Linked DNA regions of Coturnix japonica. The protein of the gene in region 3 purifies or fractionates together with the protein of the main gene of each other region. This does not show direct contact. Links are inferred from orthologs where the notes say so. Each region holds a gene or a part of one and is shown on either strand. Other genes may lie near its edges. The genes, in order: C5H15orf41, HAT1 and ASF1A.

Region 1 (3,649 bases), on a different chromosome or scaffold from region 3:
CAGGGTCAGATGAATTCTCTGAGTTATCACTTGAGAGATCCTTGGATAGACTGATCCATTAAATCATTCAAAACTGATTCACAGTTTGTCGAGTTATGCCTGTGCCTTTCCATTTAAACAGTCTCAGAGAGCAACAGAAGTTGACTAACTTACATGCAAACTAATCTGTCATCAAGTGTTCATTAACCTTTCAGTATCTAAGGGGGAGCTACAGGAAAGAAGGTGAGAGAACAAGGGAAAATTGCTTGAAGCTCGAAGAGGTTTAGGTTGGATTTAAGGAAAAAATATTTACAATGAGAATGATGAGGCACTGGAACAGGTTGCTTAGTGGTGTGGTGGATGCCCTGTCCCTGGAGGCTTTCAAGGTGAGGCTGGATAAGGCCCTGGGCAACCTGATCTGCTGTGGTGTCCCAGTTCATTGTCGGGGATTCAGGCTAGATGGCCCTCAGAGTTCCTTTTCAACTATAAGGATTCTATGATTCCATGATCAAGCCAACTGCCATTATATTAGAAAAAGCTTCAGTAATTCACAACTCAATTCAGAAGACATTGTGATAGCATTAGTTTGATCAAGCAGTACCAACAGGATTTGTATTTACAAAACAATAGCAACAAAAAACAAACAACCCAAATAACAAACAAAAAGAGAGCATACAATTATACCTTTTCCCAAGCTAAGGCTAGCAATTTTCACCTTAGCATTTTTTATACTCAAGACAAAAAATGATGGACACCACAAACTAGCCACTGATAGCGGCATATGCTGTTAGTTACATGTTCAACCATTTTTGTACCGTTTTCTCTACCCTCTGTTAGATTTCTCAGAGACTGTCTGAACACTGAGAAGATCTATACTTTTACAAATCCTTTATTAAAACTATCATTTACATCTCTCACTGACTTCCTAAGTGTTCCACCACTTAAAGATGAGTATCTTATCATTATTAGTTTGGGATGAAAAATCTTCTAGTGAGAAGACTGCTATTACCTTGAAAAGATATACAACTATACACAATAACAATCTTCCTTTTGTATTACTGAGCTAATGTAACAGTCTTTAAAAGAAAGGATCTTTATGAAAATAAAATCAACATTCAAAAATTCTGTCCAGTGTGACTTCTCATATTCCTGCAAACACTTAACATTTATTAGCTTGAAAAGAATATAATATTATTATGTAAGATTTAGATAGCATATGAAAAGAACATTTTATCAAACAAAAATGAATCAGAATTGTGTTTGGCACACATAGTAGGCAATATTTTTCTCATACAAGGCCTACTTGTTAGACAGTGAGGATTTTAAACTAAGTTTGGCATCTTGCAAGTATTAAAGAATCTTCCCTTAGTCAAGTTCTAAAAAAAAACTGAAATAAAACTTCTGTACCAAAGCACTTTATTTTGTTAACTAGCATCACTTTAAAAACACCATACATATCTGTTGCATGTTAGCACTGAAAATATTATTTTTCCACAAATACTTCAGCATTGAAATTTGACATACTAATTCATAAAATTCAAGATGTCAGATTAGTAAAATGTATTTTATTCACACGGTTTAATACAAAAGCCCAGTATCTTAAAAAAATAAAAAAAAACCTAATAACAGAAACATACCTATTCCAATAACTCCAAAACTGGTCCTGCAAGTAGGCCTGGTGGCTACTTTCATCACCAAATGAGGCTTTGCTTTCAATCCAGTGAATTATGTGTCCTTCAACAGCTAGGGTGACAGCAAAAAAAGTGAACTGCAAAAATCAGACTGAACAGTCTTAAGAATGTGTTTGGGAATACCCTGTTTAACCCCCAATCTACCACATAATTCATGTTTATACATATTTACATATGTGTAAATACATTTTTCAAATATGTATACTGATAATGTTTTTTTAAAAAATAACACATATTATTTTAATGGATAATTATCTCAATTAAATATCATCTCATTCTAGATATTTGCCTTTCTTCTTAAACACAAACAATGTAAAGAAAGAGACCAGAAAAAGAGATCAGACTATGGAGCAACTGTGTCCTACTTTCAGCCTTACTTTAGTGAAAAGCAATTGAAGATGTCTGGTGATTATCAAGCAGTTAGTTAGTTAAGCTGCAAATGGTAGAGAATTCTTAGCCCACAGTAGAAGGTGTGATAACAGAAAGGAGGGTTACCAGAGATATATAACTGCCTCCCAACTTTTTCAAAATCAGTAATGCTTCAGCAAGAAGAATTTAGGAATAAGAATGGCTATGTGAAAGATCTGATATGGAAATTCTGTTTCTGGGATTTTCACTGATTGATGCCTTTCGGTATTTCTCGCAGGACAGAATTTGCAATATTAAAAAAACACATTTATTTATTTATTTATTTATTTATTGGTGAAAGAAAGCCCTGTCTGAAACTGATAAACTAATTTTGCAGAAGAAATTGTGAAAACCACTCAAAAGGATCATCCGTTCTCTAGAAGGACAATGTGGAATAGCAGTACTGAGTTAAGGAAGCCTTTAAAAACTTTTTAGAAAGCTCTCATATCTACACATATACTTATCTACTGGATAAGAAAGACTACCATGCTGAATGATTACATCTGAAGAACTGCTGTGGATAAAAATTTTTAATAGTATGCACTCAATTCCTTCTACCATGAATGAATTGGTTATCTGTAAGAATTCCTTCTCTTGTTAATATGAAGAACAAAAAAAGCAGTCATGAATATGGCTTTCATATAGGGCTTTAAGCCTTTTTATTTTCACTAATACCTGCAAACACCTGCCTAGTTTAGTTGTAAACAGATAAAGGAGAAGTCTACTTGTATTTTGGGTAATACTATTCTGACCCAAAGTAGATGATCTTAAAATTACTGAGTAAACACAAAAAAACCCTGAGAAATATTTAGTATCCTGTAACATACTTCATATTCTTATGTCTTAAGAAGTTGTATTACTTTAAGATAAACAGTTCTATACAAAATAAAATAATAACAATTCTTTTCAAAGACTTACCTACTGGCACTTCTAAAATAAAGTCTGGTGTTTTGTCATAACCCTTTGCACGAAGCTGATCTTCGGCTACACAGAGAGAACAAGGCCTATTGTTTATAAAACTCTTCTATTAAGTAGACAGCAGTATAATTAATTTTATTTTAAATAAGAGTGTAAGAATTATTAATGCAGTCATACATATCTTTCTTATGCATGCAATGATGTGTCAGATTAAATGAACCTTTGTAGAAAACCTGAAGCATGGATATAAAAATGCTTCTTTGTCATCCCTGCATTTTTATGTCTTCATTATAAACATCATTAATTCAAGCTGTCATACAGTATTTTATAACCTCCAAATATTCAAAATAAAGAGATATATTCACTGATTGAAAGAAGAGTTTCCTCACATTAGGGAGCTGTTGAGATTAATCCTACCAACACCACAAATGTAGATATATTGCAGTTGCCTTCATGGCTTTATTTTAATGTTAACACTAAGGTGTTTAAAAAAAACAATCAAAAAAAGAAAAAAAAAACCCACAAACAAGACAGTTCTTCTCTTCTAGAAATCCATTAAAGAAGTATGCCATGATTCTAAAATAAATTAATTATAATTAATTAATTAATTAATAAAAAATTAAGTAAAATTAATTAAACATGAAAAAATTAGA
Region 2 (3,749 bases), on a different chromosome or scaffold from region 3:
AACAGCGCTATTAAATGTTCTTTTTTAATTTAAAAAAAAAAAAAAGGAGAATATGGAACTACAGTCTCATTGCTGTTTTACTCCAGTAAAACTGGAGATGAAGTAAAAAGGATTTTCCATCAATAGGAGATATTCCAAGAGAAAAGTGAACGAAGGGTTTCTTAATAACAGGATGAAACTCAGCCCTCTCAATGGCAGTTTTCGTCTTCTTCAGCTTGATTCAGAGAACGACCCAGTTGAATCAAAGTAGCAAGATTAAAAACAACAAAAAAACAAACCAGAAAAAAAGGGAAAACAGAGTAATCCTGAAACATCACCATGGAACGAATTAGGACTCAGAAGAGTACAGCCATGTCCACATTTATACCCCTATGCTCACGGGAAAGGCGTGTTTTTTTGTTTTTAATGGCATTAAATTTTAATTTTTTCTAACGTTGTATGTAGAACATCTACACTCTCACAAAGAAAAAAGTAAACTGACAGGTATATTCTATTACTTCTCATCCTTTGGATTTAGAAAGACACAAGAGGAAAACCAAAACGTTATATATATAGATTAAATAAAAATAGTCACAAAATGAGTATTTGAACTGTTGTTCAAATGGAAGAGAAATGCTTCACCGGTTAGCAGCTCAAAGGCTTCAGTATTTAGGTTACAATGATGTTTTGTCTCACAAGCCAACCGTGCATTTAAAAGTCGACTAAGTTTTGCAGAACAAACTGTTAATAGTAGTTCTTAAGAGTGCTTAAAATGTTAATTATTTTTACTTTCTTAATAAGTAAAGCTATTTGTACTGCTCAAGGAAACAAAATGCTGAAGGTTTGGAAAGATTAAAAAACACAGATGTATTACCTACTGTCTTATTAATTAACAATACAGGTAAGTTTCAGATATAAGTAAGTCAGTAATTCCACTTGTATTCTATATATGGTATTAAGCAAGTTAGCTATATAAAGCAATAAACAGTTCTGAAAAATAGAGTAGTACTTTTTCTACACAGATTTTAAAGACTTTGTTGAAGATAGCTTGTGTTGTCTACATGTTGAGGGAGAGGTGGAAAAAACAAACCAAAAAACACTTTCCAGCTTTACTTATTGTGTTTCCTCAGAAGAACAATGGTGCATACTTAGGACTACATAGTAGCAAAAGTTCTAGAGAAGAAGAAACTAAGAGAATATAGTTAATAACTCAAGAAGAACAAGGTGGCATCATCCCAATGCAGTTTAGCAGTATGTTAATAGATTGCTGATGTTATTACACAGGTAAAAGCCTGAGTTTCTGTAGCTGTACTGTACCATTCTCAATAAAACTACACTATGAATTCCTATTCTTGTGCCTGTATATTTATAAATGCATATTATCAGCTAATTAGATTAAATTACAAGGACTTTATTAAATAGATATTAAAATATTCCAAACACATAATATTTAAAAATTGGCATTACCTAGTTTGAGCTGTATTGCTTCATTTGTGTTACATTTGTATTCAGCCAGCTTCTTCTCCATAGGAGTCAGTCCTAAAGAAAAAGATTTTGGGAAGAGTTTCGATATGTACAATCTGGGTCAGCGTAATTCAATGATTCAATGTAATTCAATGTTAAGAAAAAGGCTCTCAAGAACAGAAGGAACAACATCATAACGCTGACTTCATTTCATAATGCACTGCTCTCCCTGCAGCTCCTACTTTGTCATTCTCTTTACTTTTCAAGCCAATCTGTTTTCTCACTATGAAGTGTTTTCCAAAATAAATGCAGATGTGTTTGAATAAGGGTTAATGCATGTCAGGAGATCTTGAACTGTGGCAGGAATGCTACCAAGCTGTTACGTAGCTATTACCTTCTTTCCAGAGTGGATGAGGCAGGAAATTACAGGTAGCCTGTTTCCCAGCGTCTAATCCAGCACACAAAAGGCGTGTCATTCATCAAGGCATTTTTCAAGTGTGTTAAACCCACCCTGTCTCCCTATTCCAGCAGCATTAGCAGAAGTTCTTCCTCCCATTTCAAGCAATTCAGAATAAGGTTACTCCAGAAGTGTTCTCAATGACCCGGCGGGCACAGAGCCGCACACGGTGTGTAAATACAGCCCCGCTGCAGAGCTGACCCACGGCAGCGGCCGCCCAGCCCACGGCCCGGTCCGCAGGGCCCGAGATGGCCCCGAGCTCCTGCTGTGCTGCGGGGGGCGAGGCCAGCAAAGGGCCCTGCTCCCGTTCGTGGCCCAGCACAAACTCGGGCCCGGTCGCGGGGAGGAGCACCGTCCGCGCCCAGGGCGACTGCTCCCCTTAATAGAAGATGGACGACGGCTCCCACACCCCGGCGGCTGCAGTCAGGCTGCAATCAGGCCGCCGACCGGCCGGCCCCGGCCTACGACTCACCCGCCATTTCCCAGCGGCGGCGGCGGCCGAGTCACCCGGGCACAACGAATCAAGCCGCGCGCCCACTCGGCGGAAGTGAGAAGACGCGCACACACTTCCGCTTCCGCCCGCCCAAAAGCGGCCGGGAACCGCCAGCTGAGGCTGGACCCCGTGTGCGCATGCGCAGCCGCGTGCCGGCGGGAGCCTTTAAGGAGCCGCGCGTTGGCTCAGCGGCTCATTGGCACAGCCCCGCCCCAGGGGCAGCCTGCAGCGGGGTTACTGATGTGTCGTTACTTCAGCCTCACACCTGCCTCAGTGCCGGGACGGGATGAGGGACCCGGGGCCGATTCGCTCTCGTTAAAGCGTTAGTGGCTTCGCCTCAGGGTCCGGCCCTGCGGAGCGCAGCAGCGGCGCTGGCAGAGCAGGCAGGTTCCTTCCAAATCCCTTCTGCGAGCTCGGACGCCGAGCTGCTGTGCCGGTCTGCGCTGCCCCGCGCCCGGCGGGTCCCGCTCTGCCTTACGGTCACACCGGCCGCTCCGACCCTCACCGCCGCCAGGCGCCGTACGGCCGCTCCCTGCCGTGTCCCTGCCGTGTCCCTGCCGCGTGCCTGGCCGCTCCCTGCCGTGTCCCTGCCGTGCTGCGGGCTGAGGCTGCAGCGCTGTCCCGTTGTGCTGGGCCGCCACATCCCCAGGGCATTGCCCCGCTCAGCGGCACGAGCCGTGCACGAGCGCCTCTCGCCCCGATGCGGCGGCCCCCGACGCTGTCACACGGAGCCGGCTGAGCGTCCGCTGCAGCCCGACCCGACCCGGCCGGCACCGGTCGCCGCGCTGCGGGATTTGGAGGCGCGGGGCCGCCGACACGGTACGGCGGATACCGAGGGCAGCCCGCCGGGCGGGGCAGGGCGGGGCCGGGCGCTGCCTCCCACGGCGCGGCGCTGAGGCGGCGGCGCTGCGGCGGCGCGGCGGGTGGGTAGAGGCGCGCGGCTCCTCCTCCCGCTCGCCGGCGCAGCATGGCGGTCAAGGTGACTCCTCCGTCGTCGGGCGGCCGCCGTGCCTGCCCGCGGGGCCCCGAGGGACGCGGGACGAAGCCGGAGGCGGGGGGGGGGCGGCTGCGGGGAAGGGGCAGCGCGGTCGGTCCTGCCTCCGTCCGCCGAGGAGCAGCGGCGCGGGCCGAGGCCGTTACTCGGCGCGTGAGGGAGGGAACGGTCGCGGCCCGGCGCTCCGCATCCCCAGGGACGGGCGCGGTGCGGGACCCGCGCGCTGGGCCGGCTGTCAGCGGGTGACACGGGATGTCGTGTTTGAGTCTTATCGGTTAGATAAGGCAGCCGATACCGCCGCCCTTATCGGCACTCATTGCGTTTTTGTTCCCGAGTTGTAGCTCAGCTGGTGAAGCATTAAC
Region 3 (3,749 bases):
AAAACAAGCCTTTGAAGATAACTTATACCTTTAAAAGGTTGATCTGATACTGCTGATACATGATGACTTGGAATAATTTAAAGACGGGGGAAGTGAACTCAATTAATTTACTTTTAAGACCAGTGGTGCACAGGACTGGCTGTAAACAGCAGAGCAGACATTAGCACACAAACGCTAAGGAAATGACAGCAATTCATTCTCTTCAAGAAGCTGTTTAACCTCATTTTTAAACGTGAAAGATAGCAATGCTTACCCTAAACATATCCTGTAGCCTAACCTTTGTCAGATGGGGGAAGGGAACTGAGAATTTTGAACTGGGCCACCTCCAGTTCTCATCCTGACTGTCCAGATTAATCGCACTGTTAAACACACAGTTAGGAGTGGTCACAAACCAAAGGAAAGGCAAGGTGATGCCTAGTGCCTGTGCTGCTGCAGGCACTGCTGTGTGAGGATTCAGGTGCTGCTGTCCTGAGTGAGCCCTGACTGCCTGAGTCAGGGAGGAGCAGCCATCAGCATCGGGATGTGCACGGAGCTTAATGGCGCGGGCTGCTCAAACTGAGACGCTGATCAGTTTTAGGAAGGGGGCAGAGGCGTGGGGGGAACCTCAAACGCAGACAGGACTTTGACAAAGTTCCTGACAGCACCGCCAACCCGCCACACAGGGACAGAAACCCGCGCCGAGTGTTGAGGGAGGCAAACTGAACCACAGCAGCAATAGAAACGTCCCCATTCTCTACTGCCACGAGTTTCTTTCCCTGCCTCCCGCTGTCTGCCCTGGTTCCCCGGCGAGCAGGCGGCACTGTGCCCCATAGCGGCACCTGTCCTGTGGCTGCTCCATCGGAGCGGCCTTTTCCTGTCTCTCGGTGCCGCTCATCCCGCCGCTTCCTTCGCCGTGCGCCGCCGCGTTCGAATCTCCCGCCCGGTTGTTCCCGCGCGGACTCTCGGGGCGCCTCCCGCGGAGAGGCGCGGCGCGGCCTGCCGGCGGCACGGACACATCGTGCCGAGCGAGCCGGCCCACAGCGGGCCGGGGGCTGCTCGCGGCCCGCCGTGCGGACGGGAGGACTCGAGCCCGGCCGAGAAGGGTCCCTCAGCCGCGTCTCCCGTCCCGGGGTCCCCGCGGGGCGGCGTGCAGGGCGGCGCCGAGCCGCCTCCCCCGGCGGCAGCCGGTAACTTTCGAGTGACTTCCAAAAATAGTGGCTACCGCCTCCCCCTCCTCCCGGCACGGCTCCGCGCCTCCGGACCGCCACCCACCGGGCTCCGAGCACTGCGCCCACCGAGAGCCGCCCGCTCGTCCGCCCGGCCTCCAGCTCTGTTTTTTTCCTTTTCTTTTTTTTTTTTTTTCCTTCCCTCCTTTTAAGTATTAAAATGGACCGTGAGGCCCCGCACCGCACGCTCCAAACGCTGCCCGCGCTGCGGGTACCTCCCGTTGGCAGCGCTACGGCCGCGCAACAGTTCCGCTCCCGCGTCGCGGGGCCGCGCGGCGCCCTGCCCGCCCGCCCGCTCCCGCTCTGCCCCCCCACGCACACACAAAGCTGGCAACATGGCTACCACCACTCTAACAAGTTCCTCGCAACTTGAAGGCGGCCTCGGCGACGGCGCGGCGGGGAGCGAAGCGGAGCGGCGGCCCCGGAGCGAGGGCTCCGCCGCTAACTTTCCCTGCCCGGGCCGGGGCCGGGCGGCCCCGCCGTAGCTCCGCATCCCCCGCGTGGCCGCACGGCTCTGCGGGGAGGAGAACCGTGCGGCGGCGGGAGCAGGCCCGGCCCGAAGGGAGCCCGCCCGGCCCCGCATCCGACAGCCCGGGCACCGCCGAACCCGCGTCCGGAGAGCGGTACTCACCTTCCGACAGGTCCTCTATGCACTCAAATGTGATTTCGAACTGGAAAGGGTTGTAGAAAGGAGAAGGGTTGTCCAACACCACTACATTGTTCACCTGAACCTTTGCCATATTTTGAAAAAAATCACAATAGGAGGAGCGGGTGAACGCCGCACGGCAAAGTCCCGAGCGGTGATCTCCGCCTCGCACGAAGCCCCCTGCCCCCCGTCGGAGCGAGGCTGCGGAGCCGCGACTTGGGGAAACTTTTCTTCCCCCCTTTTATTTACACCGGGAGCACTCCACTCTGTTCGCAGCTTTCCTATTTCACTCAACTACGGCCCATTCTGCCCTGCTCTCCGCCAGCGCCCGTCCGGATTGGCCGCGCGCTGGGCTAGGGCCCTCCTCCCCGAGCCGAGCCGACCGCCGAGCGGCGGCAAGACAGGCACCGCCGCCGCCCGCCCGGCCCCTCCGCGCCGCTCGGCGCCCCCGCCCGGCCGGCGCCCGACACCGCCGCCAAACCGCCCGGCAGCCGCCGGCCAACGGCCGCGCAGAGCGGGGAGGGGCCGGGCCGAGCGGGCGGGGCCGAGCGCGGAGCCGAGGGGCGGCCCCGGGAGCCGTAGGCCGCGCCCCTGCTCGCGCGTGGGTTTCCGCCATGTGCTGTGGGTTTTGCCGGTTGTTAGTGCCCGAGGAAGGCGTGTTTTCATTCTTTTTAATTCTTTTCGCGAACCCGGAGGTGTCAGGTGTTACGTGCTGACTGGGGACTGCCCGACCGAGCCCTGGTCCGCTGTGTGAGCGGCCTCCAGAAAGCTGTCAACCCGTGGCTGTGCTGTAGTGAAGCCTCCGGCAGCGCCGCACGCCCCGAACACAAGCGGCCCTTGGAGGAGGCCATTTTAGGCTGCCGTGTGCGGGAATGGCAGCGGGGATATGTCATGTCACCGCCCGCCGCTGGGCTGGGGAGAGCCGTGCCCCGGGCTGGGGGTGTGAGGTGTTTCTCGTCAGCGTGAGAGGCGATTCCCGGAGGAAATAAATACGTGGTCATGCAGTAATCGTGCCTGCGGGGAACACTTAATGTGCGGCAGGAAGGTACGGAGCAGACATCTTGCCTGAGCCATGCAGGCAAGCAGCAGAGTGCTGCCATGTCTACAGTGAGGCCCTTAGCCGTCCTCCAAGCCACTGCCAGGTTTGGAAAGGTGATTATGCTTCTGTGTTGACAAAGAAGTGTCTGATAGTTGCCTCATCTGTTGCTCAGTGTACATTTTTAGCATTCCTCGTGTCAGATGAAAGGCCAGATTGGGCACAGTAGAAGAGACTCCTCACAACAAGCTACTATTACTATCAAGAAACATAAATTGCCAATAATTTCTGACTGATCTGCACAGAGATGTGCCATGGGAAGATCCTTGGGCAAGTTTCGTTGTAACATTCCAGGAGGTTTCAGGCTGGCAGCAGCTTGTCATCTACCAGGATATTTTGAGCAGAGCGCTTTGGAGTGAAAAAGAAGGGCTAAAGATAGAGAAAAGGCTGGGGAGTAGGGACGAGGAAATGGGAAAGAGCTGCACATACTTGATAGTGAGCAGCCATTATCACAGCTTAGAAACATTTCTGACCTTCCGTGCTCCCAGTGTTGCATCACATGTAGATTCACAAGTGCCTGCTGGGAACTTATTTGGTTCATTTCATTTTGGATTATTATTTTTTTTTCTTCTAAGCTTTATTTTTCAGCTCTGCAATATTTGTCTATTTTAGTGGTTGGTGAATGCATCCATTCTATACATTTGTGGGCTTTGTAGTCACACCAGTTTTCATTTTAATATAGTAGATTTGATTTTCTCACCCTTGTTAATAAGTAATTACTAAATTTGGAATGCTTAGCAGAATCTGCTCTGCAGATCATGGCTAACCTGTGTAACGCTAGTGGGATTTTCTACCGGCAAGT

The links.
Region 1: the proteins of ASF1A (region 3) and C5H15orf41 purify together in Homo sapiens (affinity purification with mass spectrometry; 3 studies listed by BioGRID and IntAct, counting the BioPlex papers as one, with this or other methods). This does not show direct contact. The link is inferred for Coturnix japonica from reciprocal best matches to the Homo sapiens genes ASF1A and CDIN1.
Region 2: the proteins of ASF1A (region 3) and HAT1 purify together in Homo sapiens (affinity purification with mass spectrometry; 4 studies listed by BioGRID and IntAct, counting the BioPlex papers as one, with this or other methods). This does not show direct contact. The link is inferred for Coturnix japonica from reciprocal best matches to the Homo sapiens genes ASF1A and HAT1.

Annotation. Positions count from the first base shown.
Region 1 is NC_029520.1:28,375,439-28,379,087, forward strand, and holds part of C5H15orf41 (protein C15orf41 homolog), read right to left. Parts: intron 3,063-3,649; coding exon 2,997-3,062; intron 1,723-2,996; coding exon 1,617-1,722; intron 1-1,616. UniProt on the Homo sapiens protein: Plays a role in erythroid cell differentiation.
Region 2 is NC_029522.1:16,001,955-16,005,703, forward strand, and holds the start of HAT1 (histone acetyltransferase type B catalytic subunit), read right to left. Parts: upstream 2,449-3,749; 5' UTR 2,380-2,448; coding exon 2,373-2,379; intron 2,232-2,372; exon of another isoform or gene 2,000-2,231; coding exon of another isoform or gene 1,954-1,999; intron 1,892-1,953; coding exon 1,838-1,891; intron 1,519-1,837; coding exon 1,447-1,518; intron 1-1,446. Other genes in the region: SLC25A12 (calcium-binding mitochondrial carrier protein Aralar1), read left to right, coding at 2,531-2,626. UniProt on the Homo sapiens protein: Histone acetyltransferase that plays a role in different biological processes including cell cycle progression, glucose metabolism, histone production or DNA damage repair. Coordinates histone production and acetylation via H4 promoter binding.
Region 3 is NC_029518.1:57,107,320-57,111,068, forward strand, and holds the start of ASF1A (histone chaperone ASF1A), read right to left. Parts: upstream 2,332-3,749; 5' UTR 1,946-2,331; coding exon 1,837-1,945; intron 1-1,836. UniProt on the Homo sapiens protein: Histone chaperone that facilitates histone deposition and histone exchange and removal during nucleosome assembly and disassembly.